Linked DNA regions of Alligator mississippiensis. The protein of the gene in region 3 purifies or fractionates together with the protein of the main gene of each other region. This does not show direct contact. Links are inferred from orthologs where the notes say so. Each region holds a gene or a part of one and is shown on either strand. Other genes may lie near its edges.

The links. The genes of interacting proteins can lie anywhere in the genome.
Region 1: the proteins of MAP3K14 (region 3) and CAD purify together in Homo sapiens (affinity purification with mass spectrometry; 3 studies listed by BioGRID and IntAct, with this or other methods). This does not show direct contact. The link is inferred for Alligator mississippiensis from reciprocal best matches to the Homo sapiens genes MAP3K14 and CAD.
Region 2: the proteins of MAP3K14 (region 3) and TIMM13 purify together in Homo sapiens (affinity purification with mass spectrometry; 3 studies listed by BioGRID and IntAct, with this or other methods). This does not show direct contact. The link is inferred for Alligator mississippiensis from reciprocal best matches to the Homo sapiens genes MAP3K14 and TIMM13.

Annotation. Positions count from the first base shown.
Region 1 is NC_081824.1:143,564-154,198, reverse strand, and holds the start of CAD (CAD protein), read right to left. Parts: upstream 4,021-10,635; 5' UTR 3,914-4,020; coding exon 3,832-3,913; intron 3,635-3,831; coding exon 3,495-3,634; intron 2,211-3,494; coding exon 2,081-2,210; intron 2,004-2,080; coding exon 1,861-2,003; intron 1,574-1,860; coding exon 1,432-1,573; intron 1,101-1,431; coding exon 929-1,100; intron 545-928; coding exon 359-544; intron 1-358. UniProt on the Homo sapiens protein: Multifunctional protein that encodes the first 3 enzymatic activities of the de novo pyrimidine pathway: carbamoylphosphate synthetase (CPSase; EC 6.3.5.5), aspartate transcarbamylase (ATCase; EC 2.1.3.2) and dihydroorotase (DHOase; EC 3.5.2.3).
Region 2 is NC_081839.1:11,748,851-11,758,962, reverse strand, and holds TIMM13 (mitochondrial import inner membrane translocase subunit Tim13), read left to right. Parts: upstream 1-6,092; 5' UTR 6,093-6,132; coding exon 6,133-6,255; intron 6,256-6,384; coding exon 6,385-6,453; intron 6,454-8,052; coding exon 8,053-8,151; 3' UTR 8,152-9,113; downstream 9,114-10,112. UniProt on the Homo sapiens protein: Mitochondrial intermembrane chaperone that participates in the import and insertion of some multi-pass transmembrane proteins into the mitochondrial inner membrane.
Region 3 is NC_081827.1:161,164,107-161,175,006, forward strand, and holds the start of MAP3K14 (mitogen-activated protein kinase kinase kinase 14), read left to right. Parts: upstream 1-5,891; 5' UTR 5,892-5,984; intron 5,985-10,900.

The DNA of each region.
Region 1 (10,635 bases), on a different chromosome or scaffold from region 3:
GCTGTTCCCCCCACACCCCTATACCTATCTTCTTGAAACTTAGCAGACTTCATCCTCTCTGCAGAGTCTACCACCCCTGAAAATTTCATCCAGATCGGATAAAAAACAACAAAGCTATAGACATGTTATTGTTTCCCCATTATACCCTATGGCTGGATCTCCGAGGTGGCTCCGAAGCTCTTCGGGAGCTCCGAACCGCTTCGGGAAGCCTAACGAGGCCAGCGCTTCCACCCGGAGGTGCTGCTTCGGACCCTGAAGAGTCCGAAGCCTCGCACAGCCCCAGCACTGCCCGACCTCGCCTGGAGTGCCAGGGTGGCAGCCGCCCCACAGCCCATTCCCACCCCCTCGGTCTCCCCACCTGAAGAAGGGCTTGGTGTTGTGCACAATGCCCTCATTGGAGTGGTCGTTGGCGTTAGTGAAGAGCGGGGCCCAACCAGCAGGCAGGCTGCCTGGCTCCACTGCGAAGCCGTGGTTTTGCGAGGTGATGAAGCAGCGCTTTGAGTCCTCGTGGATGCATGGCTGGTTGTGTCCACGGTTCCCATACCTGTGGGACATGGCAGGGCAGGTCAGACACATCTTGCAGAGCTCACGCTAAGGAGGGTGGGGGTACATTGGCCATCCCCACCCCAGGCAGGGGCCTTCCTGCAGCACCAGTGGGCATGAGAGGAAGGCAGCTGGTTAGGGGTGCAGGAAGGAAATTTCCCCTCTCTGGGCCCATGAGAGACCCGGGAAACCCCATGGACTGGGCTGAGGGGTTGTAGGGGACATGGGAGGGGGGGCTCCATGCCAGCGCTCAGGGCCACTCCCATGGGCACAGACCCAGCTGGGGCAAAGCCCTGAGCCCCCAGCCCCCCACAGCTCTGTGCCAGGAGCTGGGAGCCCAGCCCAACTGGCCCTGTGGCTGAGGCCTCCCTTCCCCCACACTCACTTCATCTTGTAGGTCTTGGCGCCCACAGCCAGCGAGAGAAGCTGGTGCCCCAGGCAGATGCCAAAGACAGGCTTGGGCTGGGGTGCAGCCAGCACGTGGCGCAGGCCAGCGATAGTCTCCTGGCAGCGCTGTGGGTCTCCTGGGCCATTGCTAATGAACAGCCCATCAAACTCTGTGGGGCAAGGGTTAGGATTAAGGGACAAGGATGGTCGGAGCAGGCACTGCCCCTGCCCTGCCCAGCACACCCCCAACTCCCCTTCCCCCTCTCCCAGCACTGATGGCTGAGACGATTTGTCACTGGGTCTAGCACCATTTGGGGTGACTGTACCAGGGCTCCAAGCCCCAGGTGCCTCCTGTCCCTCAACCCACCCTGGCAAGCTCCAGGCCTCCTGCTCTTGTGCACATGCAGCTGGCTCCACCCTTGGCACCTTGGCCCTCATACCCACACACTCAGCCTTACCACTGACCGCCTCTGATCCCAGTTGGATGGGGCCCGTACGCACCTGCACTGTCCAGGGGGTGGTCCCAGGGCACCACAGTCACGGCTGCTCCACGCTGGCACAGGCATCGCACCTGGTTGTACTTCAGGCCGCAGTCCACAGCCATGATCTGGACCGAGCCGCTGGGGTTGAACACTCGGGGCTCCTGTGGGGTTTGAGGGTCAGAGTCCAGCAGCCACATGGCCATCAGGCCAGGTGCAAGCCCCTGCTGACCCAGGACAACAGGAGCATGGGCCCCAGCCTGAAGCTGACAGCACTTCCTGAGCCAGCGGGGAGGAAGGGCACAGGCAGAGACCCCCAAGACCAGCAGGACTGGAGGGGAGTGGGGAAACAACCTAGTGCCCAGGACGCTTCTGTCACCCATGTGCTCAGCACTGTCCTATCCTCCCCTTGGCCCCCACCCCCTCCACGGGGCAGAGGGCCTGGCCATACCTTCAGGGAGACCTCGTGCACCAGGTGCCGCGTGTTGGGATCCTCGAAGGGCAGGCTCTTCTCAGGGGTCCCATCTGGCACCAGCTTCCCCAGCAGCGTCCCCTTCTCCCGGATTCGCTTTGTCAGTGCACGGGTGTCCACCCCTGGGAGCAATGGGCATTAGCACCAGAGCTCTCTGTAGGCCCCACCCCACCGCACCCCACCCCCTGCCCAGGCCCACCTTCCAGGCCGGGGATGTTCTGCTCCTTCAGCCACTGGTCCAGGGAGAGGGCCGCGCTCCAGTGGCTGCAAACCTGGGAGCACTCGCCCACGATGAGTGCTGCGACATGGATCTTGCTGGACTCGAACCACTGTGTGCAGAGGTGGGGTGAGCAGGGTGGGGAGCAGGGCCTGGGGGAGCAGGGAGCTGCCCTGGGGCAAAAGGCTGCAGAACTGTGCGTGCCCCATTCTCAGGGTGCAGCAGACACTGGGGCCTGGCCCTCTCCCATATGGGGCCCAGGAAGGGACCCTGGCACCCTGGAGGGGCATGCTCAGGCTTTCCTACTGCCCAGAATCAGCCAAGGCAGGAGGAAAAAAGAGGCCCTTGGAGAGGGCAGAGGTGCTGGTGGTGGCATCCCTGGGTGCACCAATGTGTAACATGCCACCAGCATGAAGAGGGCAGGTGTGACCCAGGACACGCCAGTGAGGGGCTAGGAAACCCATTGGGCCCAGGCCAGGGACATCACAGCCAAGGAGCATGCATTTACTGTAGAGAGAACCAGCTAAGCTGAAGGACGGGGCTGACACATGGGCAAGGGGGACATATGGCCAGGAACACCCCCAAGGCCAGACTTGAGCAGAGGACCTAGAGCAGGGTGGAGAGGGGTTAGGCCAGCTGCCCTGCAGGACCAGTCAGGACAGAGCTGGATCCACGTGGGGGGGGGGGCGACAGGGCACCTGCCGGCAATAGCAAGGCTGGACTCTGACCCTGGGACTCCTTACTGGCAAGTGTCCTGCAACAATGAAGGACTGGACATGGCCCCCAAGATGCCTCCAGGGAGCCAGAGACACCCCTGGCCCAGCTACTTAGGGAGGACAGGCTGGAACTCCTCCTGGCAGCCCTGTGGGCCCCCTGTGCAGGCCTGCAAGAGGCTGCATGGGCACGGGCTCCCTGCCAACTCATGGCAGAGCTGTGCTGATGCAAAGCCCCAGGGGAGCCAGCAGTCCTGGCACACGCTGGCTCCTGGGCAGCGATGCTAACGCAGCCCGACAGGTGGCATGGCTAGTATGCAGCCGCCCAGGGCTGCAGATTCAAGGCTGGCTCCCTAAGGGGAGAGGCACTGCCTGGCGCCACGAGGCAAGGCAGCACCCACAGCACAGCAGAGGGGCCCTGCCCTGGCCCAGGGCTGAACGGCAACCCTGCCAGCCAGCCAGCCCCAGCACGCAGCGTCTTTTCCCAGCGGCCGCAGACCCAGCTGTGCCCCTCTGGCCAGCCCTGGAGGACAGCCCTGCCAAGCTGGACAGTCGCCGGGGCCCACGGGAGTCCGGGCTGCTCCGGCCAAATTCACAGCAGAGCCGATGCCAGCCTGCCGCCGGCTGCCAGCAGCCCGGGCCTGGCTGGCTCTGCGGCCCCCGCCAGCACCCCCGGCACTCACCCGGCTGAGGCCGAGCGGGTCGGGCTCATCCTGCGGGACGCCGTAGTTGCCCACGAGGGGGTAGGTCAGCACCAGGACCTGGGACTTGTAGGAGGGGTCGGTCAGGGCCTCGGGGTAGCCCACCATGCCGGTCTGGAACACTGCGGGGGGGCGGGGCGGCGTCAGCGGCTCCCCGGGGCGGCACAGCCGGGCAGCGGCCCCGGGGCCCAGCCCAGCCCCCGCCCCCACCCGCGGGGGCAGCGGGAACGGGCCGGGCCGGGCGGCCCCACGTGCCGCGGGTCCCCGCTCCGGTGGGCCACGGGCAGAGCCCAGGACCCCCGCCCCGCCCCGCACTCACCCACTTCGCCGGCGGCCGAGCCCGGGGCCCCGAAGGGTCGGCCGCGCAGCACAGCGCCGTCCTCCAGCACCAGAGAGCCCATGGCCCGGCCTGGCAGCACGCGGAGGCACCGGGGCGCGGGCCACGTGCGCGGCGGACGGGCGGGGGCGGTGGCGGTGGCGGCGGCGGGGCCGAGCGCGGCGCAGGCGGGCGGCGGGGCCGCGTCAGCCGAGGGGCCGGATCCGGGGCGGAGTCGCGACAGCGCCGGGGTGGGCTCCGCAGCGCCGGCCTCCCTCGCCCCGCCCCGCCCCGCCCCGGAGCCTCCGGCGCGCGCCGCCCGGGCGGGGAGAGGCCTGCGGGGCCGGCCCGGCCCGGCCCGTCTCGGGAGCCTGCGCCGGGCACCCGGCCGCACGGGGCCTCCGCTGGGCCGGCCCGGGCCTGTCCTCGCGCGTGCCGCGGCGCGGCGGAGGCCTGCAGGCGCCTCGGCCGGGCTCAGGTCCCACGCGGGGCCGGCGCGCGTCTCCGGGGCCCGGTCAGGGTTCGAATGGCGGGGCAGCTGCGGGGGCTGAGCCCCCCGAAAGAGACAACAGCCCCCTGTAAGATTTGAAAATGTGAGCGGGGTCTCCGATTTTATCAGAGCTTCGTGAAGGGCAGCCAATTGTTTTGCACTCCCTCCCCGCACAGTTCGAGCCCTGCCCCTAGTCCGAGGGTAGCCCAGTCCAGACAAGTCAGACCTTGCAGAAGAAGGCACCCCCCAAGCAGGGGGGAAATCCCTCCTTGCCCCAGTGCAGCTGGGACTCAGCCTGAGCGTGGGGGCAAGACCCTCCAGCCAGCACTCTGCCGGGTTGGAGCCAACAGGAGCATTGGCACGGCCCAGCCCCATCCCCAGCGCCTCTGGGAGAGGCTTCAAAACCTGACACATGGAGCAGAAAGGGGGGTGGGGGCAATCAGCACAGCCCAGAAGCCCGGGACACCACCACAGCAGAGCACAGGCATTGCTGGGCCTAGATCCTCCTGGACCAGTGCCCATCCAGCCTCTCCTTGACATCTCCGCTGGTGGGAAGTCCTCCCCTGCTCTGATGGGGAAGACGTGTTCCTGGATCTCCAATGTAAACCTACCTTGCTGCAACTTCCAGCCATTGGTCCACGTATTCCTTTCCAAAGGGGTCACAAAGTGCCATGCCACAGCCACTGCAGGAAAGACACAGGCTACCCTTGAGGGCTGGAGCTGGGAGCACGCTACACCACACACCTGCATGGCCCATGTCGCCAGGCACCCCAGTTGCAGCACCCAGAGGACTTGGCCGCACTTGCTTGCTGGAGGATGCCCCTGCTGCAGCAGCACGCAGCCGGTAAGAGAGCACCAGGGCACCCGGGACAGGTTGCTCCAGCCAACCTGCACACCCACCCTAACACAGCCTTCCTCTTCCTTTGCCTCCCAGATGTCTGCAGTCACAGAAGAGCCTGTCTGCAGGCAAGCCAGGGAGAGCACGAATGCAGTCCCGCACTGCCACAAATTGTGCAGTCGAGTTTCCTGTGTGGGGAAATCCCAGGGGTCAGCACACCTGAAGTGCAAGGGGTGAGCCTCACCCTGGGGAAACACCACTTTGTTATTGGTAGTATTGTTAGTATTATTGTGATGATGACGATTATTGTGTTGGCTACAAATGTCCAACTCAGGATCCTTAAAATTCTGGTTTATTAGGCGGATTGAAACACTGTAATGAGTTAAATCATAAACCTTGGGGCTGGTCCCCCCCCCCCCCACACACACACAGTAGCAAGCTACAGAGTCAGGTATACCTATCCTACAAGTGCTGGAGTCTGCCGTCAATGGCCAGTCAAGGCTTCTTTCAGCTTGGTGTTATCCTCCAGAAGGGGGTTGCCGGCTGGTCCTTCTGGCTGGACAGGTCAGGTGCTGGTCGAGTTGGAAATCAAGAGGGTGCTGCTGAGGGTCACTTTTCACTGCTTTTTATCTGTCCTTGGCAGACTTTGGTGACTCCCCAGTTTTCAGGTTTGCCCAATCCAGGGGTCATTGACCCTCATGGGACTTCCCCCCTCGGTGGCTACTGGATGACATCTGTCAGCCCCCGGGGTCATCCACATGTACGTGCAGGTTTGGGAGTCCATTGATGAATTTTGAATAGGGCTCTGGGAGTGGTCGATCTGGAGATATTCAGCCCAAAAGTTGGTCCCCGGCATTGAATAACTCAGGCCAGGGCTTCTAGCCCTTGATCAGTGACGTTTAGAGATTTCCCGGTTGTTACATTGTCTTCTATTGAGTTCTTCAGTTGGTTGATCTGCAGTTTCCTAGGTGTTAATGGCTGCCTGCTACCATGTTACACATTCAATCACTGATTCACTCACTCTTTCAGGGGCCAGCCTGATACAGGGAAGGGCAGTTTGTTTCCTGCCCTTGTTAACATTGTTACAATGTATAACTTACTTATGAAACTAAACACATTTAGTTGAAAGTTGAAAGGTGAGGAGTATAAAATACAAGCTACAGAAGCAATGCCATGGCACACAAATAGATAAAAGTACCAAAATACACAGGGTGATACAAAATGCACACATACAAATTTTAAAACACAATTCCTTATCTTAAAGTGAAAGAAAGAGGAAGGAAGAAAAGGTAGAAGAGGAAAAACATATTTAAAGAGGGGAGAGCAAATGCAGGCAAGAGGAAAAGGGGGCTTTCTGCTACAATTGTACCAAAGTGTAAACACATTTCTCGCACTTTGTTGCTCCAACAATCCCGTTGCTGGAACACTGCTTTCCACCACAGATGCTTCAGAACAAAGCCAAGTCCCTCCTCAGCATTTCATGTCCACTAGTCTTCCTAACGGGAAGGAAAAGAACAATCGTGTTCACACAGCTCTTGATCTCAGGGCCATGTCACACTGCAGCCAGCTTCCATACAAAACAGGCATAGTTTTAATTGTTCTTAAATAGCGATCACTAGCCTTTTTGTTTCCATTTGCCTTTGGCCTCCTCTGCCCCCAGGTCCCCTGTATAGCATGACCGGGCAGTCTGAACAGTGAATTCCACCCTGGGAAAACCACCTTCTTTTTGGTCTGAAGTTTAACAAGAGAGCACATTCACTGGCCATCTAAGTCTAAAGCCAATGAGATGCCAAACCCAAACACCCAAAGCTCAGTACAGTCCGTGGTACCCACTTCTCATCAGTTTCCCTCAGCAAACATCTGTGCAGCTGCCCTTGCTCAAGGGAGTGCCCTGCTTGGGCCTGAACCTGGCCCTGGCACCACCCCCCACCCAGCACAGCACTGCTCTCAGTACAGGGCAAACATGTAGGAGCCCCCCACGCTGCCCATACTCAGCGCCTTGCTGCCACAAGTCTTGCTCTGTCTGTCTCCACATGCTCTCCCCGCGCTGACATCACACTTTCTTTCCCCTTTTATTTGTGTGCCCTGCACACCTTCTGGCCTGGGCCACGTGCAGAGAACCCCTGGGCACAGCTGGTCCTGCTACTGCTCCCCCTGACCTAACACTCACTGTCTCTGCCTCATTCCGGTCTCTGGAGGCTGCCAGGCCAGGCCTGCGTGGCCCGTACTCAGCACCAGGCTCTCTCCTGACCCCAGTGGCACTGTGCAGGCAGCTTCCCTCAGCCACCGGCATGCAACTCTGCTCTAAGTTCCCTGTACATCAGCTCCATCCTGCTGCTCTGGGTGCCCTACGTCCAGAGATGAGCTGCCCTGCTGGGTCCTCTGCCATGCGCAGGGCTCCCCTGGCCCCAGCCCAGGAGGCATTGCTGGGGCAGCCTGGGTCTGGGCTGCAGTGGAGCCATGGACATACTCTGCTTGTGAGCCTGCAGAGCGACCAGGCCCTGGCCTGCCCTGGGGTGGGGGCAGAGGTGGCCTTCAGAGCCCCAGGAGCAGAGGCAGTCACACTGCCCCTGGCCCCTTGGTAGCCCTGGGGCCTTCCCAGGAGTGGGGGTAAGCTCTGGGCCGGGGAGCCAGATGGCCCCAGGAAGTGGGGCATGCAAAGACTGGGGGCTCAGGTCAGACCCCTGTGGGCCCAAGTGAGAAGCCAATTCTAGTCAGGTCCTTCCTGTAGGAGCCCTGGGACCAAGGTAAGAGTGACCCCCACCCTTTGGGCAGGGAGAGGCCTTAGCTGGGCTGATGCCGGGAAAGGCCAGTGGGTCCAAACCATTGAGCCTTGGCACTGAATGGGCCATCTGGGCCCATGTCGGGGGCCTGCCCTTCACCCATACAGGCAGGGATGCTGGGGTGCAGGGACAGGGGCTGCATGTAGGAGGCTGGGAGTGTTGGCGTGGAGGTGGGGTGCAGGCTGGGAGCCCTGGAGTCGCTATGGGGTGGAGGCTGGGGTGTGGCAGGGGATGGGGCAGCTTGTGTTGGAGGCCAGGACCGTGATCAGTGTCCTTTGGAGGCTGTGTGCACCCACTTATGGCCCTGCCCGCACCTGCAAGGTGTTTGGTCAGCAGGAGGAGAAAGCAAGAGTCCCAGCAGCACGGGGCAGGGAAGGCCGATGCAGCAGCGCCACAGGAGAGGATGGAGCCTGCTTGGCAGCTAAGGGCAGGAGTAGATGAGCTGGTATTGTATCTAGTGGGTTATGGAATAGAGAAGATCCCACACAATTTACTGATTCGTTTTGATGCACTGGCTGGGGGAGTAGTTAGTTACTCGCACGATTCCACAATGATTACACACTTAATTCATACAACACAATTTTATTTTAAAATTCTTTGCTACGCATATAACACTGCTTAGCTTTAAGAAATACCACAAACATTAAGAACACAATAATTACATATATCAGAAACAATGCTCCAAATGCACTTCCTTCCCAAACTTCCTAAGAATTAGTATTACAAAAACAACTACAATTACAACTAAAAGTTAAATTTGAATCAATACTATTATTTTCATAATATACTTACAATCCTAGAATTCCGAGAAGCCAAACACCTAAATATGGTTTCATTCCTCAGTAGTACAATTTAATGGGTTGGCCTCAGTAGTACGGTTCAATGGGCTGGCCTCAGCAATACGATTCAATGGGCTGGCCTCAATACTGATAGGACTAAGTCCCCTTCTTTCAGTCCCTTTCGGGCGCTCTGCAGCTTCAGCATGAACTAAGAGATTCGTGTTCATGGAGAGGGTGGTTCAGGTGATCAGTCTGATCCGGCCTACACTTGCAATTCTTCCTTCGTTGTTCTGCAAGTATAGTCACCTCCAATTTGGGAGAGTAGGTTACAGTTTTTATTGAGTGAGTTGCTGTCCTGGGCCACTCCTACCCAAACCTGTCATTACTCCCAAATTTGGCTCGGATCTTACTTTACAGATTCTTTTACTTGGTAATTAGTTTCTTTTGTTGATCATTTTAATTACTTTGGGGAACTTCCATACCACTGCAAGTGACCTTTTCTTTCCAATCTTGTCAAAAGGCCCTAGGGTTTGATCTCTCGGAACTCAGGATATTTGCTTAAGGGTCATTTTTAGGTTAACTTTGTAAAAACCCTCTGAAGATAAAATTCAAGAGTTAAGACTTTGAGCAAAGTCAGGATCTTTCTCACGTAGACCAAAACAATGGCCTAGATAAGGAGATAAATCTTGTCTTCTTCCTAAACTGGCTAATGGGCAACCATTACAGACATTTAAACTATTTCATTCAATATGACAGGTATGTGCCTGGGAGCCATGGACTGGGGCAGGCCAGCTCCTGGGGCTGCTCCACTGCCCATCAGCCTGTCTGCGGTTGCCAGGTGCCTGCTGGTCCATTCGCTGAGTTGCACACGACTGCCCTTCTTCCGGGCAGCTTGCAGCAAGGGCATGGAGCATTGATACACCTATATCATCTAATCTCCCTGTGTCCCATCTTAGCCTGGAGGCCGAGGGCTGCATGGAGCCGGTCTCAGCGCTGCTGGCCTGCATCCAGATGGCTCTGGTGCGGGTGGCATGGGCAGCCAAGCAGCTGGAGCCAGCTGGAAGCATACATGGCCTTTCCTCCTCTCGCCTGGCTCCTGGCCCCTGCCAGGGGAGCGGGCCAAGGCGGGGAAGCACCCAGAGGTAGAGCAGGGGCAGGAGCAGGCCCCTGGGCCCCGACCCGCACATGGCCTCCGCCGAGCACCTTGGCATCCTATCAATGCCACTGGGGGACTGTCCCAAAGAAGCCTGACCTTAGTTCTGCCCAGCCCAAAGCACGGTTTGACCATGCCAGGCTGCCAACTAAGAGCCCCCATGCTGCTATACTATAATGGCTTGAATAAGGAGCTGGCTTTTGGGCTGGGATTATGGCTAGAAATTCTGCTTGGGCCACCTATAAGAATACCTCTGTGCCACCGGGGGGCTCTACCGGATGCAGCTGACCAGAGTCTTGTCCAGCCTAAAGCGCAGTTTGGCCATGCCAGGCTGCCAACTGACAGCAGCTTTGCCACTGTGCTAAATATATGGACCTGAATAATGAACTGGCATTTGGGCTGGGATTATACCCAGAAATCTTTCTTGGACCATTCCAGAACACATCTCTGTGCCACTAGAGGACACTCCTGGGCATTGCTGATGAAAGATTTGCCTAGCCCAAAGCACGGTTTGGCCATGCCAGGCTGCCAATTGACAGCACCCCAGCCACTGTGCTAAGTATATAGACCCAAATTAGGAACTGGATTTTGGGCTGGGATTATAGATAGAAATTCTTCTTAGGTCACCCCATGCCATGCCAGTGACACCAGTGGACTGTCCTCGACATCTCTGACCATAGACTTGCCTGGCCTAAAGTGCAGTTTGGCCGTGCCAGGCTGCCAACTGACAATAGCCCAGCCACAGTGCAAAGTATATGGATCTG
Region 2 (10,112 bases), on a different chromosome or scaffold from region 3:
AACTGAAGAAGTCAGAACTGGTTTGAGGAAGATTGATTTTAGGACTTATCTGTTCATTAAGTTTAATTGGGATAACTATAGCAGAATAAGTATTTTTAGTATAACTCCCTATGTAAACATTCTGTTTTAGATTAAAAGTAACTTTTTCCCCAGAATAATTACTATCAGTGACTTTTACTCCTGTGTTAACATGGAGTTATACCAACATAGCTGTAACAGAATAATTATGCCATTCAGTTTCCCAGAGCAGACTAGCTCTTATTCACTGATAGCAAAGGGAAGGGCAACAGAGGAGCATGAAAAGTCTAATCATGGAGTTCATGTATGGTGACATACAAGGATAAAATGCAACTATACAGCTTCTCTGTCCCTCTATACCTCTCCTTCCCCTGTCCTCTTGCTGTGTGCACTGCTTCGGTCATATCAGCTGCAGTAGCCTCTAAAAATGTCTGTAATTCCTTCTCATTCCTGCATATTTGTCCAGTTTGACTATTGGGTTGTCAGGGGACTCTGGATTTGCTTCTATAAGCATAAAAGAGTTTATAACAAATTATAGGTCACCTTGGGTTGCTTAGCCATCAAAATGTGCAGTCACTGTAGGAGCCAAAAAAAAAAAATCTCAGGAAAAAATGCCTTCTAAGAGCCAGTACTATAAATGCCAGGTTAGTTTGTTGTGTATAGTTAGCACTGAGATTACAATGTGAAGTGCACAGTACTGTGAAGGGGAAATTAATTCAGTGTATGATTCAGAATCGTAGAAAATTTAGGGTTGGAAGGGACCTCAGGAGGTCATCTAGTCCAGCCCCCTGCTCAAAGCAGGACCAGCCCCAACTAGATCATCCCAGCCAAAGCTTTGTCTAGGTGGGTCTTGAAAACCTCCATGGATGGAGATTCCACAACCTCTCTGGGTAACCTGTTCCAGTGTCTTACTACCCTCCTAGTGAGAAAATTATTCCTAATATTTAACCTAAGCTTCCCTTGCTGCAACTTCAGACTGTTGCTCCTTGTTCTGTCATCTGCCACCACTGAAAACAGTTTAGCTTCATCCTCTTGATGGAGTTATAACAGAATAATTATGCCATTCAATTTCCCAGTGCTGAATAGAGGGGAATTATCACTTCCCTTGACCTGCTGTCAATACTCCTGCTGATGCAGCCCAGGATGCCATTAGGCTTCTTTACAACAAGGGCACACTGTTGGCTCATATTCAGCTTATTGTCCACTGTAACCCTGAGGTCTTTTTCTGCAGAGCTGCTGCCCAGCCAGCCAGCCCCCAGCCTGTACCAGTACATGGGATTATTCTGTCCTAAATGCAGGACTTTGTACTTGTCCTTGTTGGACCGCATGAGATTTCTTTTGGCCCAATCCTCCAATTTGTCTAGGTCACTCTGAATCCTGGCCCTACACTCCAGTGTATCTGCCACTCCCCTCAGCCTTGTTGTCATCTACAGACTTGCTGTGGGTGCAGTCTATGCCATATTCCAGGTTGTTGATGAAGACATTGAACAAAACTGGCCCCAGGACCAACCCCTGGGGCACTCCACTTGATTCTGGCTACCAACTAGACATGGAGCCATTGATTACTAGTCTCTGAGCCTGATGCTCCAGTTTTTTTATCCACCTTACAGTCCATTCATCCAGCCCATACTTCCTTAGCTTGCCTGGAAGAATGCTGTGGGAGACCATATGAAAAGCCTTGCTAAAATCAAGGTATATCACATCTTCAGGTTTCCCCTGCATCCACAAAGCCAGTCACCGTGTCATAGAAGGCAATCAGATTGCCCTTGGTGAATCCATGCTGACTGGTCCTAATCACCTTCTCCTCCAAGTACTTTGAGATGGATTCCTTGAGGATCTGCTCCGGGGACTGAGGTGAGGCTGACTGGTCTATAGTTCCCTGGGTCCTCCTTTTTCCCTTTTTTTAAATATGGGCATTATATTTGCCCTTTTCCAGTTATCCAGGGCCTCTCCTAATCGCCATGAATTTTCAAAGTTGATGGCCAGTGGCTCTGCAATCACATCAGCCAACTCCCTCAGCATGCTTGGGTGCATCCCATCCGGCCCCATGGACCTGTATATGTGCAGCTTTTCTAAATAGTCCCTAATCTTATTTTGCCACTGTTGCCTGCTCACCTCCTCCCCAAATTGTGCTGCCTGGTGCAGTCATCTGGGAGCTGACCTTGCTTGAAGACTGAGGTGAAAAAGGCATTGAGCACTTCAGCCTTTTCTGCATCCTCTGTCACAAGGTTGCCTCCCGCATTCAGTAAGGGACCCACACTTTCCTTGATTCTCCTCTTGCTACTGACATACTTGTAGAAACCCTTCTTGTTACCCTTCAGGTCCCTTGTTAGCTGCAACTCCAGTTGCACTTTGGCCTTCCTGACTTCATCCCTGAAGTGATGAGCACCAGGACAAACCGTATCCAGTCCAGCTAAAAGAGAAAGTACAGGAACCCACAGAATGAGTTAAGATGGGGATTTGAATATTCTTTATACATGTAAAATAATATTTAAAACTTTGTATTGCTGTGTAAAGTCCCTTCCTGACACCTGATGGGGGGCCAGTAAGGGAGAGGCTTTTAGGCATCTTTTTCTCACAAGAGCTCAAAGTATCCTCTCTCATATTCTGCCTTCCTCTTTGCTAGTAGAAGTAGGGTTGGAGTGGTATTGTAGCCATGATGGTCCAGGAAATGTTAGAAGCAAGGGTTCTTTTTATGCTATTTTTATGGGGCAGCCATATAGTTGGGAGAGATGTGTGACAAGCTTTTGAGCAGAATATACCCTTCTTCAGGTCTGGCTTCTCTCACGGGAGGAGGATAGTGTTAGTTTGCTTGCCTTGTTGGCCACTTATTTCACTTAGTCTGTCTGAAGTCATTTTATTAGTCTGCCCATCTCATTTTGAAAGTAATCTTTAAATTAAAGGCATATCCATGCTGGATGCTGGCTTTCATTGCCACTGTTCCCAACCTCTGAGTGGAAGGGAAAAACGGTTGTATGGAATCCAGTGAGTGGAAGGTTACAGAGTAATTGCATTTCAAAGCATAGATTTCACTGAATGTGGAAATAAATTGTGCTGGAGATTTTTTTCTGTTGTCCAATTTCTAAAATGGCCTGGGAAACAGAATTTATTTGCCCTTCAGTATGTTTAGCTTTAAACCACTTGAAAATAATTTTACAGTGATTTTTTTTTTTTATATAAGACCATATTTACATGCAATTATTATTTGTAAACGTAATGCCTTTCCTGAAATGCTAAGGTCTAGAGAATAAAAAGATTTTTTAATTTTGAATCACTTAATTCAAAGAAGCACAATGCACTGTATGACTTTTTAGGGATTATTAAAAAAAAACACTTCAAAAGGTATAAAGAATCTTAATTCTTCCAAGGCTAAATCTGTTATCTGCTTCATTTAATTATTGCCCTGGATCTAGCCTGTGTAGGACTGACATTCAAATGGTTTAGGTAGCTGTGTAATTACACTAAAATTGCAAGCAATAAGCTATTTTGAACAAAGCTAAGAAGCTTTGCATTTGGACAGAATAACACTGTCATGTTTGAACCAGTGATGGGGTTTTTTGGGGCTCCTTTGACTTAATGCAACAGTTTCTTCTACTTCTTAACACAACATGTATTTAGCTTCAGTTCTAGGGTAATGGCCATCTTGACTATTACTTGTAAAATGGAGCTTTTCTTTTAAAGTGGATTACTGAGGTTCTTAATTATGAAAAAGTTCTGCAAATTGAAGTATATTAAAAACAATGGAAATTGATCTAAGCTTATAAAAACTATAAAATGATCTAGACTTTATCATTTCAAACACTTGTTTTGGTTCTGTTTTGTTTTAAGAATATGCATGCCAAATGTTTGTCTCTTTTGATGATTTGTAATATACATTTTTTTGACTGGAAACTTTTTTGTACAACACACTCCAATAAATGTTTTGCATTTTATTTGTCTCCTCCTTTTATTTAAAACAAACCAAATTCCAGTCAAAGGCTGAGAGAAATGTTGCATACCCAGGGATGTTGCATACCCATGTAGAGAGAGGATAAGGAGTGTCATCGTTGCTATTCTGTCTCCTAAGAAGATCTGGTGTGGTGCAGGGCAATAAATAAGCCCTTTTTATTTTGAAGCAAATATGCTGACCCTTACAGTCTTAATGGGTAAATGCTTAAGAAAAGCAAATATAGAGTTAGTGTGTCAGCCGCATTGCAGCTGAGGCTGGGATTTTAGTTGGTTTTTAGACCCTGCTTTAGAAACCAATTTTTGCTTTTCCGAGCCCCTTTTCCCAAAAAGACCAATAGTAGGATAATTGGGATTCTTAGCATTTATAGCTTCCCACCGACTAAGAATGGGGACTAAGCCACAAACTTTTTTCCTCATGCAGCCTTTGATGACTATCAGTCTAAGATGGGCTTAGATATCCAGCTGGTGATTTTTTTTTTTTTATCTCAACCAAATACTGTCCACTGGTTTATGGTTCTAGTTGCTGCATTTAAACTGAATAAAGTTGTTCCTGTTTACTTGGCAGTATTGGTTGGTTTAGAGGACACCACCTGCATTGAAGTCTCCTGAGTTATCACATTGGGTCTCTTAAGAAACATCTGTTCACAGTAAATGCTTAGCACCCGGTATCCCCAATGCATTTTCTGAACATAAGTGATCAATCCTCCCCTCTGGAGGTACGTGCACATCTTAATTTTCTAAGTGGGCAAACTGAACGAAAGGAACACACTTGAATTACTTTAGGTTTTTTTGAAAGCATTGTGACCTAGAGGGTAAAGCCCTGGGCTAGGACTACTGAACACATGGATCATGGTTTGGCCTTCTGAGTCATCTGTGGCCTCACCGATGATATCTCTGCTTATTGGAAGGCTGTTATTCTCGTATCGGGACTGCCAGCGACAAGAGCGCTGGACCGGGACTCGGCCTGAGTTCTGTTTGAAAGTCTGATGTATTGTAACCTTGAGTTTCTCCTGATCCCATCTGTTTATACCAGTTCCTGCAGCACCTGGATTTTTCTTGTAGATCTACCATTCAAATACTAAATGTGGCCCAGCAAATCTCATGTCTATTTTACATTGTATTTGCATAGTTGAAGCAATTGTGTATTTAAAAGTTCTGTTTCATACAGAAACCAGCTGTGGCTGATCCTTTTACAAGAACAGAGCAAAACAAAAATGAATGGTTAATTTGTAGCTTTTTGAGGGGCAGCTGATCACTTGATTTATAACTCAAATTAGTTGTAGACAAGGACAAATTTTAAGGGTTTGGAAATTGAAGGGTTGGGTTAAGCTTGCCACAATAATCTTTGTCTGTTGGTTTAATATCCCAGAGCGGGGAAGAACTAGCCAAAGTTCACCTAAAGCCTATTTTTTTTACTGCTCAGCTGGTAAAATAAAATAACTATCATCCTAGAAAGAGATTCATGGTGCCTGCAAAGAAGGAGACTGAGATATTGCCGTAATAACAAAGCTGTACCACAGCTAAGAACATTTCATTTTATTGTATTCGCTAAATGAAAGAAAAAGCGTGAGCCGGGCCCTCCAAAATAGCTCTGCCAGCAGCAGTAGGAAGTAGCCCTTGTGGAGGGCCAGCTCTAGCCACTTCAATCTTCAGGCCGTTTGCCGCGGTAGTGCTGGTGGGCCTTGCGTTTAGGGCACAATGATGAACAACATTAAAAGGAGCTGGGTAGGTGTGTGGGAGCCGTGGCAGACCTCCCGTGCTTGCGCATCTCTTGCTAGCGCGCCCGCAACTCCCCGGCACGGCCGCGGGGCCGCTCCTGCCCCGGCCTCCCGTGTGCGCGGCGTGCGGCAGGGGCGGCGCCCGGCCTGGTGGGACTCCAGCCCCTCGCGCAAGACCAGCGCCGCGCTTGTGGCTTATCGTGATTTATGTATGGACCGCGGAGCAATAACGGAGCTGTCCGGGGCGCGTGGGACTGCCTTGGAGCACTCCGCATCCCTGCCCGAGAGCTCCGCCTTCCTGCCGCCAGGGCCGCGGGGCCCCGCAGGGCGCGCCGGCTCCCGGGGGGCGGGGCGGGCTCCACGCCCCGGGGGCGGCGCTGCGGGCGGGGCCCGGCTGGAAGTGCCGGGCGGCGGCGCGGAGCAGGCCGGGAGCGGCGGGGACTGCGCCATGGCCGGCAAGTTCGGCTTGGACTTCATGGCCGGCGGCGGGAACGAGAAGCTGGACCCGGGGCTCGTCATGGAGCAGGTGAAGGTGCAGATCGCCGTGGCCAACGCGCAGGAGCTGCTGCAGGTCAGGAGAGGCGGGCGGGCCGGGGCCGGGGCCGGGGCCGGGGCGGCGGGGTGGGGTCGGGCCGGGCCGGCCCGGGGCACGTGGGCCGCGCCGCGCGCGCGTGCTCGTGCTGACCTGTGCTCTCCGCAGCGGATGACGGACAAGTGTTTCCGCAAGTGCATCGGGAAGCCGGGCAGCTCTCTGGACAACTCGGAGCAGGTGAGCTGGTGCCGCCCGCGCGGCCCGAGCCGGGAGAGGCCTGTGCAGCCGCCAGGACGTGCCCGGCACCAGGGCTCCGGCCCCCGGCAGCCTGGGGTCGCTCCTAGCCGCAGGGATGCCGGGGCCGGGCTCGCTCTCCTGGGGGGACGGGGCCTCGCAGGATTGTGTGCAGGGGTCGGGGCGTTATCTGCCGCGCAGCTCCTCCCTGAGCGCGCTGTGGCGCTGTCCCAAAGGGAACTGTTTCCGTCGCAGAGGTGGGGAGATGCAGGCCAGGCCAGGCCAGGCCAAGTACTACTTGCCTGAGGTCCCTGGGAGGGTCGGGGAGGGTCTAGCCCCTCGCCTCGTGCCCCACGCACCTCGCCTGCCTGCGCTGTCCCAGCGCACACAGCTCTGTTGCAGACGCCTCGGGTTGGCTGTTGCAGGGTGGGATGGATCTGCTGCTACTCCTTGTCCTTCCCATCTGCTGGGTGATCAACAGGGATCCTGCTTTTTCCTGATGATAAAAAAAAATCACAAATGCTCTGCTAAAACTTCTCAAATCCATGATTAAAATTAAAGGCCCCCACCCCTCCTACAGCCCTTCCCATACCCTGCTGGTGCCCCTGCTCCCCCAGCCCTGCCGGAGGGGGCCCCAGCTGCCAGGGCTACAGACCGGGGTCTACAGCCCCCTGCCCCTGCTCCCCCCCGCCGTGGGCTCAGGTGGGGCGGCTCCCCACTGCTGCATGCACTTCCAGGGGGCAGGAGGGACCTGCGCTCCCCCAGATCTGTACCTGGGGCAGGCATGGGCTGAAGCTGCTGCCCATCTGGATAGGGCTTGGGGTCCAGGGCTGCAGTGTGCGGCTGCAGGGCCCCACCCAGGAGCAGGACAGGGCTGCCCCCCTCCGCCCCCAAACAACTGCCTCCAGTGCCAGCTGCAGCTTTGGGGGGTGCAGCCCTGCACCGCTGCCCTCGCTGCATCCCCACGTGTAGGCGGCGGGGAAGCGAGAAGCAGCGAGCAAGTTTTCTGCGTGGTTTCTTGGCTCGCTGCCCTGCTCGATCAGCGGGGGAAGCAGGGTGGCAGGAAACAGTGGCGAGTAGGGGGTCTGCTATTCCCTGCTGTCCTGCTCCCCCCTTGCGACTGCGCAGCAGGGAGCAGAGTAGCCATGCAGAAAACCTCTCCGCTTCTCAAGCCCCACCCAACTGGGCAGCAGCCCCAGCCCTGCCTAGCTCCCTCCCTACAGGGGTTTCTATCCCCCTTTCCTCTCCCATCTTACCAGCGGGAGCTACTCTCAGGCTGCCTGGGACCACATGCATGTCTGTGCACATGACGCCCCCTGTCCTTCCACCTTCCTCCCACTCCCTCCCAGCTCCTTGCAAAATGGCATAATCTGTGGGTTTCTTGGGTAAAACGACAAATCTGCATTTGCCTCTGGTAGAAAGCAAAATCCGTGGTTTACTCCATTTTTCCATGGGAAATGGAAAACCCAGATCTCTGGTGATCAGGGGAAGTTGCTTGCTTGATTTGGATTTGTATCTGTCTGTTTCTCTCTCTTTAAAGTGTCTTTGCATTTGTGGGTGAAAAGTGCTGTGCAAGAGCTAAGTATTATTGTTATATTTCAGAAATGCATCGCCATGTGCATGGACCGGTACATGGATGCCTGGAACACAGTCTCACGAGCCTACAACTCCCGGTTGCAGAGGGAGAGAGCCAACATGTAATAGGCTTCCAGCAGGCCTGGTAACACCCTTCTGTACCCTCTTCTCTGCGAGAAGAGACCTGAATTCTGAATAAATAGAAATGGACCTTCTTAAAAATGAAAGGAATGACCAGTTTGGATTGTGGGACTGAAATATTTGTGATTTGGCAATTCCAGCTCTCATCCTGCCAGAGCATAAATCCCCATTGAACTGTTTATATTTTTACCCCATATTAATCTACTTGAGCTCACAAAGCCTGGGAGAAATCTGGCTGGACTGCCAGTTATTGCCATACTCTCTCCCAATGCTTGTGAGACTGCCAGGGGTTTGCTTTAAGAGCCTGGATGGACCCCCAGGACCTCTCTGGCACTGGTTAAGGAAAGAGCTACAAGGTGCATGGAATCCTTTGGGAAAGATAGGGCATTGAGCAACCCCCTTATGTGCCTTTCCCCAGGAAGCATGTGTGAGTCTGTATAACAGCTTTATCCTGCTGGTTTTAGCTGTGGGTTTGGTGCATCTGGTACGGAAGGTCAGTCGCAGTCCTAGGGACATAGTTTTAGTGGATTAAAAGAGGTTCTGAGTTTCTGTAAGTGAGGGTGGGAGGCCCATCTGGCCATTATACTGTTAAGTGCTGCAAACTGGCCTGTGGTGCAGGATGCTGGTAATGCTACATATACAGTGAGATTGTGCTATCCTTGCTGTACCCTCCTCATCAGCTGGAAGATGAATGTTTTGGACTTTGTGTCCCAATTTGCCCCTATAAGGAGTTCAAATTCTGGCTCCCGCCATCCTGTCCCAGACCCACATCAGTATTGTCATTTGTTTTATGAGACTGTCACTCTGTTTCCATGTGACCTGCTGGTTTCTTTCTGATATTGAGGAGACTGGTAGAAAATCCATAAAGAATATGAACAGGGAGCACAAACCTGCATGGAATTATGTGTAGTAAAGATTAAAGGAGCTGAATTCAGCTACCTAACTAATTGGGCCTTTGTGTGTTCCCTCTTGTTTCTTCTCTCTTTCTTTCCCATCTCTGAGCTGAGTTCTTCCCCTGCCACTCAAGAAGGGACAAATCCCTTATCTAGGTATATGATTAAATATCTGTGACCACTTAGCAGCTGGCAGTACCACTCGCACCAATTCCACTGGGCCCCTTGGGGAACCGACCAAGAGCAGGCTGGTTACATGAGGGCCGTATGCTCCAGGCCATAATCCCCAGAAGAACTTCACTGGCAATTGCAATTCCTAAAGTGCTCCCTTGCTCTTAACCACCGGCTTCTCTCAGACTGGTTGTTCTTTAGACTTGGTGAGTAATGGATCTTAAAGAGCATGGGGGCTGCTTGCAGAAAAAAACAAACACTTGACTGGAAGAAGCAGTCTTTGACCCAGCTCTGCAGTGTCGGTGAAGATCAGGTGCTTCAGCAGGACTTTCTGGCACTTTTCGCTAAAGCTGATACAGTTGATTATTAGATAAAAGTGCTAAAAAAGCCCTGCTAAAATGGCTGATCTTTACATGCATTGGGTGAGCTGGGTTGAAGTAACATGCTGCCTCTTCTGAGCCTGAGCTGGACTTGGTGTAGGAATGCACTGAGTTTAAAGCAGGATTGGGGTTTTTAAATTTATTTTTTGGGGGGGGTCTGCAAACACGCAAAGTGTTGTAATGTTAATCACCTGCCACCCAGTGAAATTCACTGCTGTGAGTTAGGCATCAAGCTTCCTTATACAATGTTGGAAGAAAGGCATGGTTGTAGCAGTGGGACTCGCAGCAGCCAGCCTGATGAACTGTCTATGCCACCTGGTTGGAAATGCTAATGAGAAGTGAGGTCTGTTCCTGAGAGGAGGTTAATGCCTAATTCTTCTTGGATCTGTAGCCACACACACCCTCTCCTGGATGCCTTGATCTTGAAAAACAACAAGATGTGTTACCACTACTACAGAATATTAAGAAACCCAGTTGTTAGAGCACTTGACTAGGAGATCTT
Region 3 (10,900 bases):
CACACCCCTGCTCACCAGTTCTCTAGGGGCAAGTCAGAGCTGTACAGTTAAGAAATGGTGTTAACCCTTAACATGTGACTGCTCACAGCAAGTTCTAATGTTAATGCTGCTTAACATTCCACAAATTTAGTATGGTCTAAACGTAATGTATGCCTTCATCCTTAAGCCTTAGAGTCAAATCCTTCTACTAGCCACCCTTTGAAAGATGACACCTCGAAGTCAGCCCTAGGCTGTCTGAATTAAACCTAGACTTCTAAATCTAAAAACCTGACTTAAGATATTTAAGTGTTTTAGATCAAAGGTTCTAGAAACAGCTGTTCCAGCATGGTTTGGTGGTCTGAGCCAACCAAGGATGATGCATTACGTGAAGGTGTTTTTGTTCTATAAGATTTGTAGCCAAAGCCATGAATGTATTAAGAGACTCTCCCTCTCCACTCACTTCTGCCATTGTTTTGTTGTTTGTTGTCTAGTTTTTGCCAGTGTTGCTCCATTGACTTTATTAGACCTATTCATGATTTATACCAATAGAGATCAGAGCAGTACCAGGCCTTTTGATTCTAAATGTCTTTGATATTCCCACAGACATTATAAAAGTTTTGTTTAAGGCTGTCAAATATAATTTGCTTTGCAAAACTATTCCAAGAACTCAGTGAAGTAATTATCCATATTACATAGATTTCATAGACATTAGGGCTGGAAGGGACCTCGGAAGATCATCGAGTCCAGCCCCCTGCCCAAAGGGCAGGAAGTCAGCTGGGGTCATAGGATCCCAGCAAGATAAGCATTCAGTTTGCTCTTGAAGGTGTTCAATGTAGGCGCTTGAACCACCTCCGGTGGCAGGCTGTTCCAGACCTTGGGGGCTCGGACAGTAAAGAAATTCTTCCTTATGTCCAGCCTGAAACAGTCTTGTAGTAGTTTATGGCCATTCGACCTAGTCGTCATCCCTTGGGGCGCTCTGGTGAACAAACGTTCCCCCAGATACTGGTGGTCACCCCTGATAAACTTATAGGTGGCCATCAGATCACCCCTGAGCCTGCGCTTTTCCAGGCTAAAGAGCCCCAGGGCTCTCAGCCTGTCATCATAGGGTCTGCTTCCCTGACCTCTGATCATGCGCGTGGCTCTTCTCTGGACTCTCTCAAGCTTCTCCACATCCTTTTTGAATTGTGGAGCCCAAAACTGGACGCAGTACTTCAGCTGCGGCCTCACCAAGGCCGAGTACAAGGGGAGAATGACGTCCTGGGATTTGCTTGAGAAGCATCTATGGATGCAAGCCATAGATATTAGTCTGAAGTCAGGCGGAAGGCAGGGTAGAGATATACCTTGCAGACTAACTGGAGTACTGTGTCCAGGGTTGGGGCCCCACACTTCAAGAAGAATGTGGGCAGATCTGAAGGACTGTAGCAGAGAGTGACAAAAATGGTTAGAAGCCTGGGAAGCATGACTTATGAGTAGGGCCTACTGAAATTCTGGTTTCATGGATTTTGCAGAAACTGCAAAGTCTGGGATTGTCTGTGAAGTCAACAACAACAAAAAAATAATAAAAATAAAATGCTGGTTCCCTACCTCACTGCCACTGTGGTCCAGCTTTGCAGTCCGCCCAGAAAAGGAAGATGCCAGCTGTCGGGGTAGCATGAAGGACAACAGAAAAGATGGCCACAGCACCTTCAATGTCCCCCCACCCCAGTTCTAGTGCTGCTTAAGCCCATGCTCAGGTATGGGCATCACCCCAAGCCAGCACCATTGAACTGTGATCCTGAGTTCCACACAGCTGGAGCTGTCCTTCGCTCCAGGACAGCCCTCCCCCTCACTCTCCAGAACCCAGGCCTGACCCCCAGCAGCCTGGGGCTGGTGCCAGGGGAGGCTGGAGCCTCCCCTACCCAGCTCCTGCAGAGGGGCAGAGCAGGGCAGGAGTAGCCCTGGACTCAAATGCTCCTATTGAGAGCAATTTTGCTCCCGACACTGTGTGCACGTGTAGACATGCACCCTGGAGCACTTTAATGAACCTGAATCTTCTGTGCAGAAAATTCAAATGCATTAACCGCATGTGTAGATGTGCCCAGTAAGGACAGTGTCAATGAAGGGAGAACTGGTATGGTAACAATAGGGACCCTCAATATTTACTTTGAATATGTCTAAGGAGAGGGGTCAGGAATGCTATGCTTTTGTTACTACATCGTGTACACTAACATTGTGTTCACTAACATTTTCAATATTTTCTTTACAACCATAAGAACTAGATAATTTAACTATCATTTTAAAAAACTGACATGTGACATAAGGATCTGGGGCTTTAAGGCCAATTAAGTGAGGCTGAAATTCTTCCTTTTAATATATAGGCCTCTGTAAGGGTAAGAGTTGGGCATTACAGTCCAATATGCCTCTCTTTTACTTCCTTGATGTTCTAACCCTGTGACTGTTCTTTATAGTAAAAATAAGGGAAGAATTCAGAAGAGGGAGATAGACAGGCAGGATTCCTATCTGTGCAACCCTGAAACTTTCCACTGAGATGTCCAACAAAGAAGCTGATCGGACCAGGGTTGGGGGGGAAAAAAAGGAGTCAAGGATCCCAGTCGCATAATTTAGATACAAGACTATTTCTCCTGTACTAAATAAGAGTAAAAAGATCCTGATTATTTGTGGCCTTTTCAGAGGCTTCTCTCACCACCCATGAATTTTAGGTATGAACTCAAATTTTTGTGGGCAGAACTGGAAATCTGATGGCAAAACCTTGTAGTGCAGATTACATCTAAGTAGTCAAGGAAGAACCTGCTGACTACAAAGTATAATTTGCGATGATGGACTATGATAATCCAATGTCACCATATTATTGTGCAACCTCAGGTTGTCATAATGTTATTTGGTAGTTCTGTGTAGCTCCATCCATGTAGGATTCCTCATACTGGTAAGACCAAAGAACTAAAAAAAAAAAAAATAGCCAGTGTGACAAGACTATGAGTAGAAGAGAGAGGTCTGTGCGCATAACAACGTTCAGTCAATATATGCCCAAGGTAGAGGGAAGTAATTGTGCACCTTCAGCCAGAAAAACAGGATCCGGTTACTGCTGAAGTTTCAAGATTGGTCAGAGTAACTTGCTTGGTTTTTTTCATATGAAACCTTCTTGCTGCAAGCTGTTAATGAGTCATCTTCCTCCAGGGCACAAAGCATGTCATCTACTTCTACACAAGTCGCAGTGAATCCGTCTTCAGCCAATCAAAGAGGTGGAAACAGGTGGCCAGGGCGTATTGGGGGCCTAATTTCTCCTTACCCTCAGAGTTTTTTTCAAGTTAAGCATTTCTTAGCCCAATCTGAGAACAGGAAATTGCGGAGACTGACTTATCTCTGCTATCACAACTGTGAATAAGTGTATTTGTCTATGTAATCTAGAAGCTGAAAAGTATATTAACTCTTTGTCTGTCCTTAATAGGGAGAATCAGCAAGAGGATTTTAAATGTATTACTAACTCATGCTGTTCAAAAGCTTAATCTCTCTCTTCATGAAAGCACAACCATCCATCTGAGCATCTCAAGTACACCCCACATGGAAGCGGCATTTGTGTGCCACCACCTTTCATTTTTTTTCCTCCCTTTGACTGCCTTAGTTTGTGGTAGTTCAGAAAATCCCTAGGTGATACATGTACATTTCCTAAAGTAATGTTGGTGGAAATTTAACAACAGAGATCTTCCATTACCTTTTCCCTGTATGTTTCTGCCTGTATGCTGCCCTATAAGCAGCTGGCTCTTGACTGGTAGGATTGTAACTGAGCAATGGCCACCATAAGACTTCGTAGGCTAATATAAAGAGGGGGAACTTGGATCCTGCTTGTTCACACGCATTTCAAGCACATCAGTTTAAGGATAATTTACTTGGAAAAGGATTAAGGTGTATAAATCTGACATTACTTACAGTAGATGGCAGTATTGTACTCACCACAGCCAATTATAAGCCTTTCACAAAATGGAATACAGCTGTTTGAGGATATATTTGGCCACTAATTCTGAAACCAATTCTGAATTCAAAAAGATCTATTTATATATCTATAGGCTGCTGTCTTTTAAAATGACACCAACTACATTTAAAATTAGTGGAGAAATGGCAGAGCATTAGGGAAAGAAACTATGTAGTGAAGTCAACACAAGTTGGCAAGAGTTAAGGACTGAGAGAAAATTGTAGATGTTGGTCCACAGATGGGTGGAAGCCTCAATTCATAATTCCAACAGAACTTGTAAAGAATAATTTGTGGATGTCAGAACTAATACCTTCCACAGAGATCTGCTTTCTCTGCCTTTTTGTATGGACTAATTTCACTAAATTAAATGTTGTTTGCAGTCCCTAGGTTTTCATATGCCAAATTAAGAGTTTTGAATTCAGCCTGAAAACTGGAAGCAGGGAGGAAAGCAGGAAGAACAAAACTTCTATGGATCCAACAATACCATGGGAGCCCAGACCAAGTGTTCAGGGCATAGTTGATTAATGTTTAGAGCTTTAATCTTCCCTGGTAAACTTTGTAGTGCTTTTTCAGCTAAACCAGAAGGGTGGCAGGGGGGGAAAAATGAGCATAAACACAGCCTTTTTCCATGTCCCTTTCCAGTGGCTTTAGAGCAGGAGGGAGAAACTAATAGCCCATGTTAGGCAGAGACTACTAACAAGGCTTCAGACTTGGGAAACAGCCAACAATGCCGCATCATCGCCCTGGAAGTGAGCTTGGGCGTGGGAGGAGAGGCTCAAGTCATGCAAAGAGTGCCTGGTGGGGAAAAAGCATTGGTGCTCTTTATGAAGAAAAAACAGAGGCGTTGAAGGGGAATCAGCAGGATCAAGATGGGGAGTGGAGTGGGAGCCCTGTGATGGGAGTGCCTGTTTGGGGACCTGGGAGTCAGGTTGCGGTTTTTCTTCTATGCCTTTTGGCTCAGATCTCAGGTTCTTGTGGGCCAGGATCAAGTGGGGGCACCCGAATCCCAAGACCTCTGGGCTTGGGCATGCATGGAGGATGCCTGCCAATGGATTTGGGAGTATCTGAATTCCCAGGGTGAGAGGCTGGGATGGAGGATGCTGGCAGGTTGTAGCGCCCTGCATGGGGTGGAGAACAACTGAGTTCTGCCTGCTCAGTCAATACGGTTTTTGGAGCGATACATGATTTGGGACTGGTTTCTTTGATCTGACCTGGAACAAGAAATATATTATTAATAATAATAATAATAATAATAAAATCCTCTGCCTTGCACTTGCCTTCCCTTGGCTTTGCGGAGGAGAAAAGCCACTGGGGAGCCCCAGTCGGGTGTTGCTGATATTTGCTGAGGAGGTGGGAGCAGGACAGGGAAGCGGGGGGCTGCCCTGCGTGCACGGCCCAGGGCAGGTTCCGGGGCACCAGAGGCCACATCCCCCACAGCAGGGGCGAGGCAGGAACTGCGCGGGCGTTGGCTGCGCGTCCAGCTGCCACTGCGAGCCGCGCTCGAGGCCGGAAGGTCCGGGCGCCTGTGGCGGGAAAGGGCTGGGATCACCCAACAGCCGTGGAACGGGCAGCCCCACACTGCGTATGCGCCAACCCTAGACCCGGGGATGAGGAGCATCCGAGCGTACGGACTGGCACCCCTTAAGCAGCCCGGTCACGCCGCGCATGCACAATACAACAAGTTTGGTAACACCCACCCAGCTCCGGGGGAAGGGGGAAAGAAAAGGGTTTGCAGAAAGCCTCGCCCACTTCTGGGAAAACAGAGGCGCTTCTCGGCCAATCATCGGAGAGAGAAGAGGCGGTGGGCGGGCGGTGGTTCTGTCTTCAGACAGTTGCGAGCGCTGCTGGCCGGGAAAGGTGCGCTGATTGGTTGCTGGCTTGGAAGGGCTAGGGATACAGGGGTGGGGTCTCCTCGCTGCCGTGGCTTGCGGCGTGCGCCCATTGGTTGGCGGGGGCCGGGGTGTGTGCTGCCCGGCCGGCCTGGGCGCCTCAGAGTGTCGGAGGACGGGGAGCGGCGCGGGCCGGAGCGGAGCGGCAGGTGGGTGCGGCCGGGGGGCTGGGGTCGGGACCGGGGTCGGGGCGTCGGACCCCCTCACGTCTGACCTCCATCCCCCCGCCGGGAGCCGGGGACCGGCGGCGGACGAGGTGCCGGGTTCCTCACCGAACACATCCGGCGGCCCCGCCGCGTGGGGGACACGAGTTTCTGCCAGCGCCGCTCCCAGCGGCACCGGCCCAGCGGGAGGGAGCACCGCGCCGCGCCTCTCGGCCTTTCCCTGGGGGCCGCCTGCGCGGCCGCACCTGCCGGCCGGCCGGCCGGCCGGCCCACCCGCGCTCGGCGAAAGGCAGGGGACAGCGGCACCTTGCACACTGACGGCAGCGTGTGGGGTGGTAGTCGTACACCCACCATGCCACATGCACATATACACACAACCTTCTGCCTATGTGTACGCACACACCCACATATGCACATGTACAAAATCACAACCATGCGGTGGCGTGTGTGAACAGCCTTGCATGCCTGTGTGTGTGTGTGTGTGTGTGTGTGTGTGTGTGCACGTATACAATCGCAGCTTTACATGTGTGTGCTTGTGTACACACGTATCTGGTCATGTGCACACATGTGGTCATGTGTGGATGTAGATTTGTGTGGTCACCAGTGTGCGTGTGTGGAGATGTGTGGTCACAAGTGTGCATATGTGCACAGAGTCATAAAATCTCAAGCTTTCTTGAGGTGATGCTCACTGTATCCAAAGCTGCAGAATGCTGCTTTCTGCACCAGTTGCACAGAAGTTAAATTCTTTTAGCAGCAGCATTTTGAGGGATACTGCTAGGAAAATGACTGCTTGGTCCAGGCAGTGTTCTGGAGAGTGGCAGGCTTCTAAATAGTTTGCAGGGGTGTGTGTGTGGACACCAGGTGTTTCCTTAATGTGCTGTGTTGGATTGTGATCGTTCCTTACATTCTAGCACCAAGGTCACATTTATTTCATGGAAATGTGTTGTTGTACTTCTGAATGACCCCGCAAGTTTTGTCTAATATGTATTTTAAGCCTAGATGATGGAGCCTTGAATTTACTTCAGCTGAGCTGTGCTTTTTTTTCCTTTTTCTCTGTTCTGGTGAGATCGTCAGAGGAGATCAAAAGAGATGTTTTTAGCTTAGATGTTGTTTTGCTGCTAGTAAGCAAACTTTCCTTTTTGGTTTTTGAAATAACTAATTTCCTGCCTGCTTTCTGTCTAAGGCAGAGTGCATTAAAGAAGCACTTCAGATAAGAGATTAAGTTGCAGACTTTGCTGTTTTGATTGGGTGTTGCTAGGCACAGATTTACAAAGTTATTCATTACAGTGGGGAGAGAGAGAATGAGGCAGTTAAGACCTTGGGATCAGTTGATCAAAATATAAAAGTGAATAAGATCTGTAGTCAGTTAAACTGTCTTTGTACTCGGTTCTCATTTGACCATATCACTTTTTCTTTTAAACAATTTTTGGCAAAATGTTCTAGTACTTCTGGACTGGTTAAGTTACTGCAGTGGGTGTTCTCAGATGCTTCCTGTCTGCTGCTTTTTGATATTAGTTGAACTGAAAACATATGTACATAGTACCCTGCTGTGTACATCAGAAATGGCATCATGAAATTGGCATGCATAAATAACTTTCAGATTGCTTTTTATGGGTCTTTTTTATGAGTTGGACACTGCAGATGGGAATTAAAATCCTGATTCAAGGTATTGAGCATTGAAGTGCTATAAATGTTCATAGCACCATCTAGCTGGCCTAAAACTAATGACTTTGCAATGAATATGTTTTGAATTAGTCATCAGTTATTAACTATATTAAATGTTAGCTTTCTTTTGGGGAAAATAAAGATTCTAAAAAAAAAAAATGTACTGTGTGACCGGAAATATAGGTAACTTGAAATCATGTTTATAGTACATCAGGAGTCCTTTTAAGTGTGTGTGTGTGTGTGTGTGTGTGGAACTGAATGAAAACCTCTAGGAACATGTGGGAGATGATTCAAAGCCTATTGAGATTATTAGGCAGACAAGGTTCTTTGGGTAAATGTGATATCTTTTACCCTCTGCCTGAAGAAGGATGTTTGTACCCAAAAGCTTGCAAAGAAGAATTTTCCCAACTATTTTAATTGGTCTAATACAAGATATCAGCTTTACCCAAAGAACCTTGTCTGCCTATATCCTTAGATCAATATGGCTACAACCAACACCCTTGAAACATTGAGATTATTAGGCATTTTGAAGGGAAAGAGCATTGGATTCAAGCTGTACAGCAGCTTCATGAGAGGGCGAGTCCTTTCGTCTTAAGATTGTTGGACTGCTTGCTTTTTGTATTTTGGCATGTTGGTAACATGATGGATAACCTGGAAGTGACTAGATGAATCTAAAAGTTGAATTTGTAGATGGTACATCATTTAAAATGGTTAGCATTTGACTAATAGTAATTTCCTAAGATTAAACAGTGAAACTGAGCAGTTCAGTTTCACTTTCTGGTTCTCATACCTCACTGCAATAATGTTTGGGTTCACAAGACTGAAGGGGAATAGTTAAACGAAGCTTATGTGTGAAGTTGAGTAAAACCATTTAAGTGAAAACTGATGTCCTGCTGATGTTACTTGATATTTTAGTGTAAGGGTAGATGGCCTAATGGCCTTGGAGTTTACAGTATTTTGTAATATTTGGCAATAGCTGTGTCCTGTCTACCCAAACAACATTGCATTGTTAAAAAGCTGTTCTGCTACATGGTTCATGTAGAACCTAACTGGGCAGCATCCTTCAAATGCTCTTTTATTTTAAGTTAGGGAAGTGATATTCATGAGTCAATTCCCTGTAAAAGTGCTTTGGGGTGGGGTGGGGTGAGGGTGGGGGGTGGGGAGAGGATGGAATCAAGCTGTTGTATCTATTAATGTGCCCTGAAGGCTGCTGGGGTAGTATAGAAAACTAAATGTGTCTAGACTGAAGCTGTTTTCAGTTAAGTTTGTAGCTTCTATAGTATTTATTTTCAGGATGAGTGACAGGCATTACACAGTTTATTTTTGCATTTACCTGAATTCATTTAAATTGTCTCAATGTCACGTCCAGTTCAATACTAGGAAAAGAACACTGTTATGGAAATTATGTGGTGAAAGAAGAGTTTAAGTGTCTGTCTAAAGATATGTGCAAGGACTTTTAAGTGTTAGTGGAATATTTTTTTTAAATCTAATCAAATATTTCCTTGAAGATGTGGAACCAAAACCATACAATAGTAGTACATGAGAACGGAAAAAGACTAAACCAGTTACATTTCACAATAACAAAGCTAATAGAAGTAAAGTAATAAAAATGGGGAAAAAAACAGACTGAAAATTCTTTTTGGTTTTAATAGTTGCAGCTATTAACATAAGTAAAATGATCTGAAGACTAATAGTGACCCTTTTAAAATATGAGTAGTCTTTTGTCAAGCATGCTTTGTACAGGAGTACTTGACAATGCATGGAAGTCCAGGTTAGAATCAGATAAGGTTTTGTAGATACTCCTAAGATTTTAATACTTTTCAGGAGAATGTTCTCTGTCTTCTAAATGTTTTAATTCATGCTTAGACAAACTGAAGCTCCTCTTTGCTGGCTCTGCAATAGTTGGTAACCAGAGCTATGCTGCCCCATGGTCTGCCCTGAACTAACAGGGAAGAAAACGGAACCATTTTAATTTCAGTTCTGTTTGAAACATGGGCAGTGGAGGAAGTCTGGGTGTGTACCAGCTAAATGGAAGATGGTAGAGAAATGGGTCACTCGCTTCCAAGAAGGAAGGCTTGAGGTGAAACCTTAAGAACTAATTGGATATTGAGAGGACTGTTTGTATATAGGGAAATCAGTGTCTTTTAGCTTTGTACAAATTTCTCAACACTTCAAGGCCTTATCTACAGATTCCAGAGAGAACTTTAATGCAGTTGTGAACAAGTGTTATTCTCCTGGTGGTTGGTAGAAGGTTTCAGACAAGCTCAGACCCTTTTTTACTATCATGTTGTCTAACCCTGCAGACACCTGAGCCTCAGTTGCTTTTAGCTTCCACTGGTGAAGTGTGTTTTCTGGCAATTCAAGGTCCCCAAAAGACTTAGGGTTTAGACCAAGTCTAGAAGGAAGAATGTATCATTCTCTGTTGCTATGATGATTGAATTCCCGACCCCCTCCTGCCGTTGTGAAACTTTTTTTTTTTTTTCCTTGGTGACCAGATATTGGTTAGAAAATATTACTAAGGCTTTAAATGTATAAAGCAGTTGCAAGAGCTATGGCTGACCTGTGTGAAATGCATTGTTCAGAAGAGTTCTTTTGATAAAAAATCAAGACACTGTTAGAGGAAACACTGATGTGTGCTTCAAACTGATGGGCAATCTGAAACTGCTCCTGAACATTATATTTGTTGATTTCTTCTTGTAGGCTTAAAACACTCACAGAAAATGACAGTTGTAAGGGACTTCAGGAGGTCATCTAGTCCAACCCCCTGCTCAAGACAGGACCATCCCCAACTATACAATTCCAGCCAAGGCATTGTCTATCCAGGTTTTAAACCTCTAAAGATGGAGCTTTCACAACCTGTCTGGGTAACCTGTTCCAGTGCTTTACTCCCCTCCTAGTGAGAGTTTTTCCTAAAATCTAACCTAAACTTCCTTTGTAACTTGAGACCATTGCTCTTTGTTTTGTCATTTGCAACCACTGTGAACAGTTTAGCTCCATCCTCTCAGGTAGCTGAAGGCTGCTATTAAATACCCTCTCAGGCCACGTCCAGATGAGCATGTATGAGTGTGTGGTATGTGGTGTTGCAGACGCATCTGCATGGGGTTTGTTCGGGTTTTTTTTTTGTTTTTTTTTTTTTGATCCCTGGATATCCAGGGGTTAGAACCCCCCCACACACAAAAAAAGTGGAGCGGTGCACACAGGGGCAGTGCGCACTATTCAGAGCTGGAGTCTGGCTG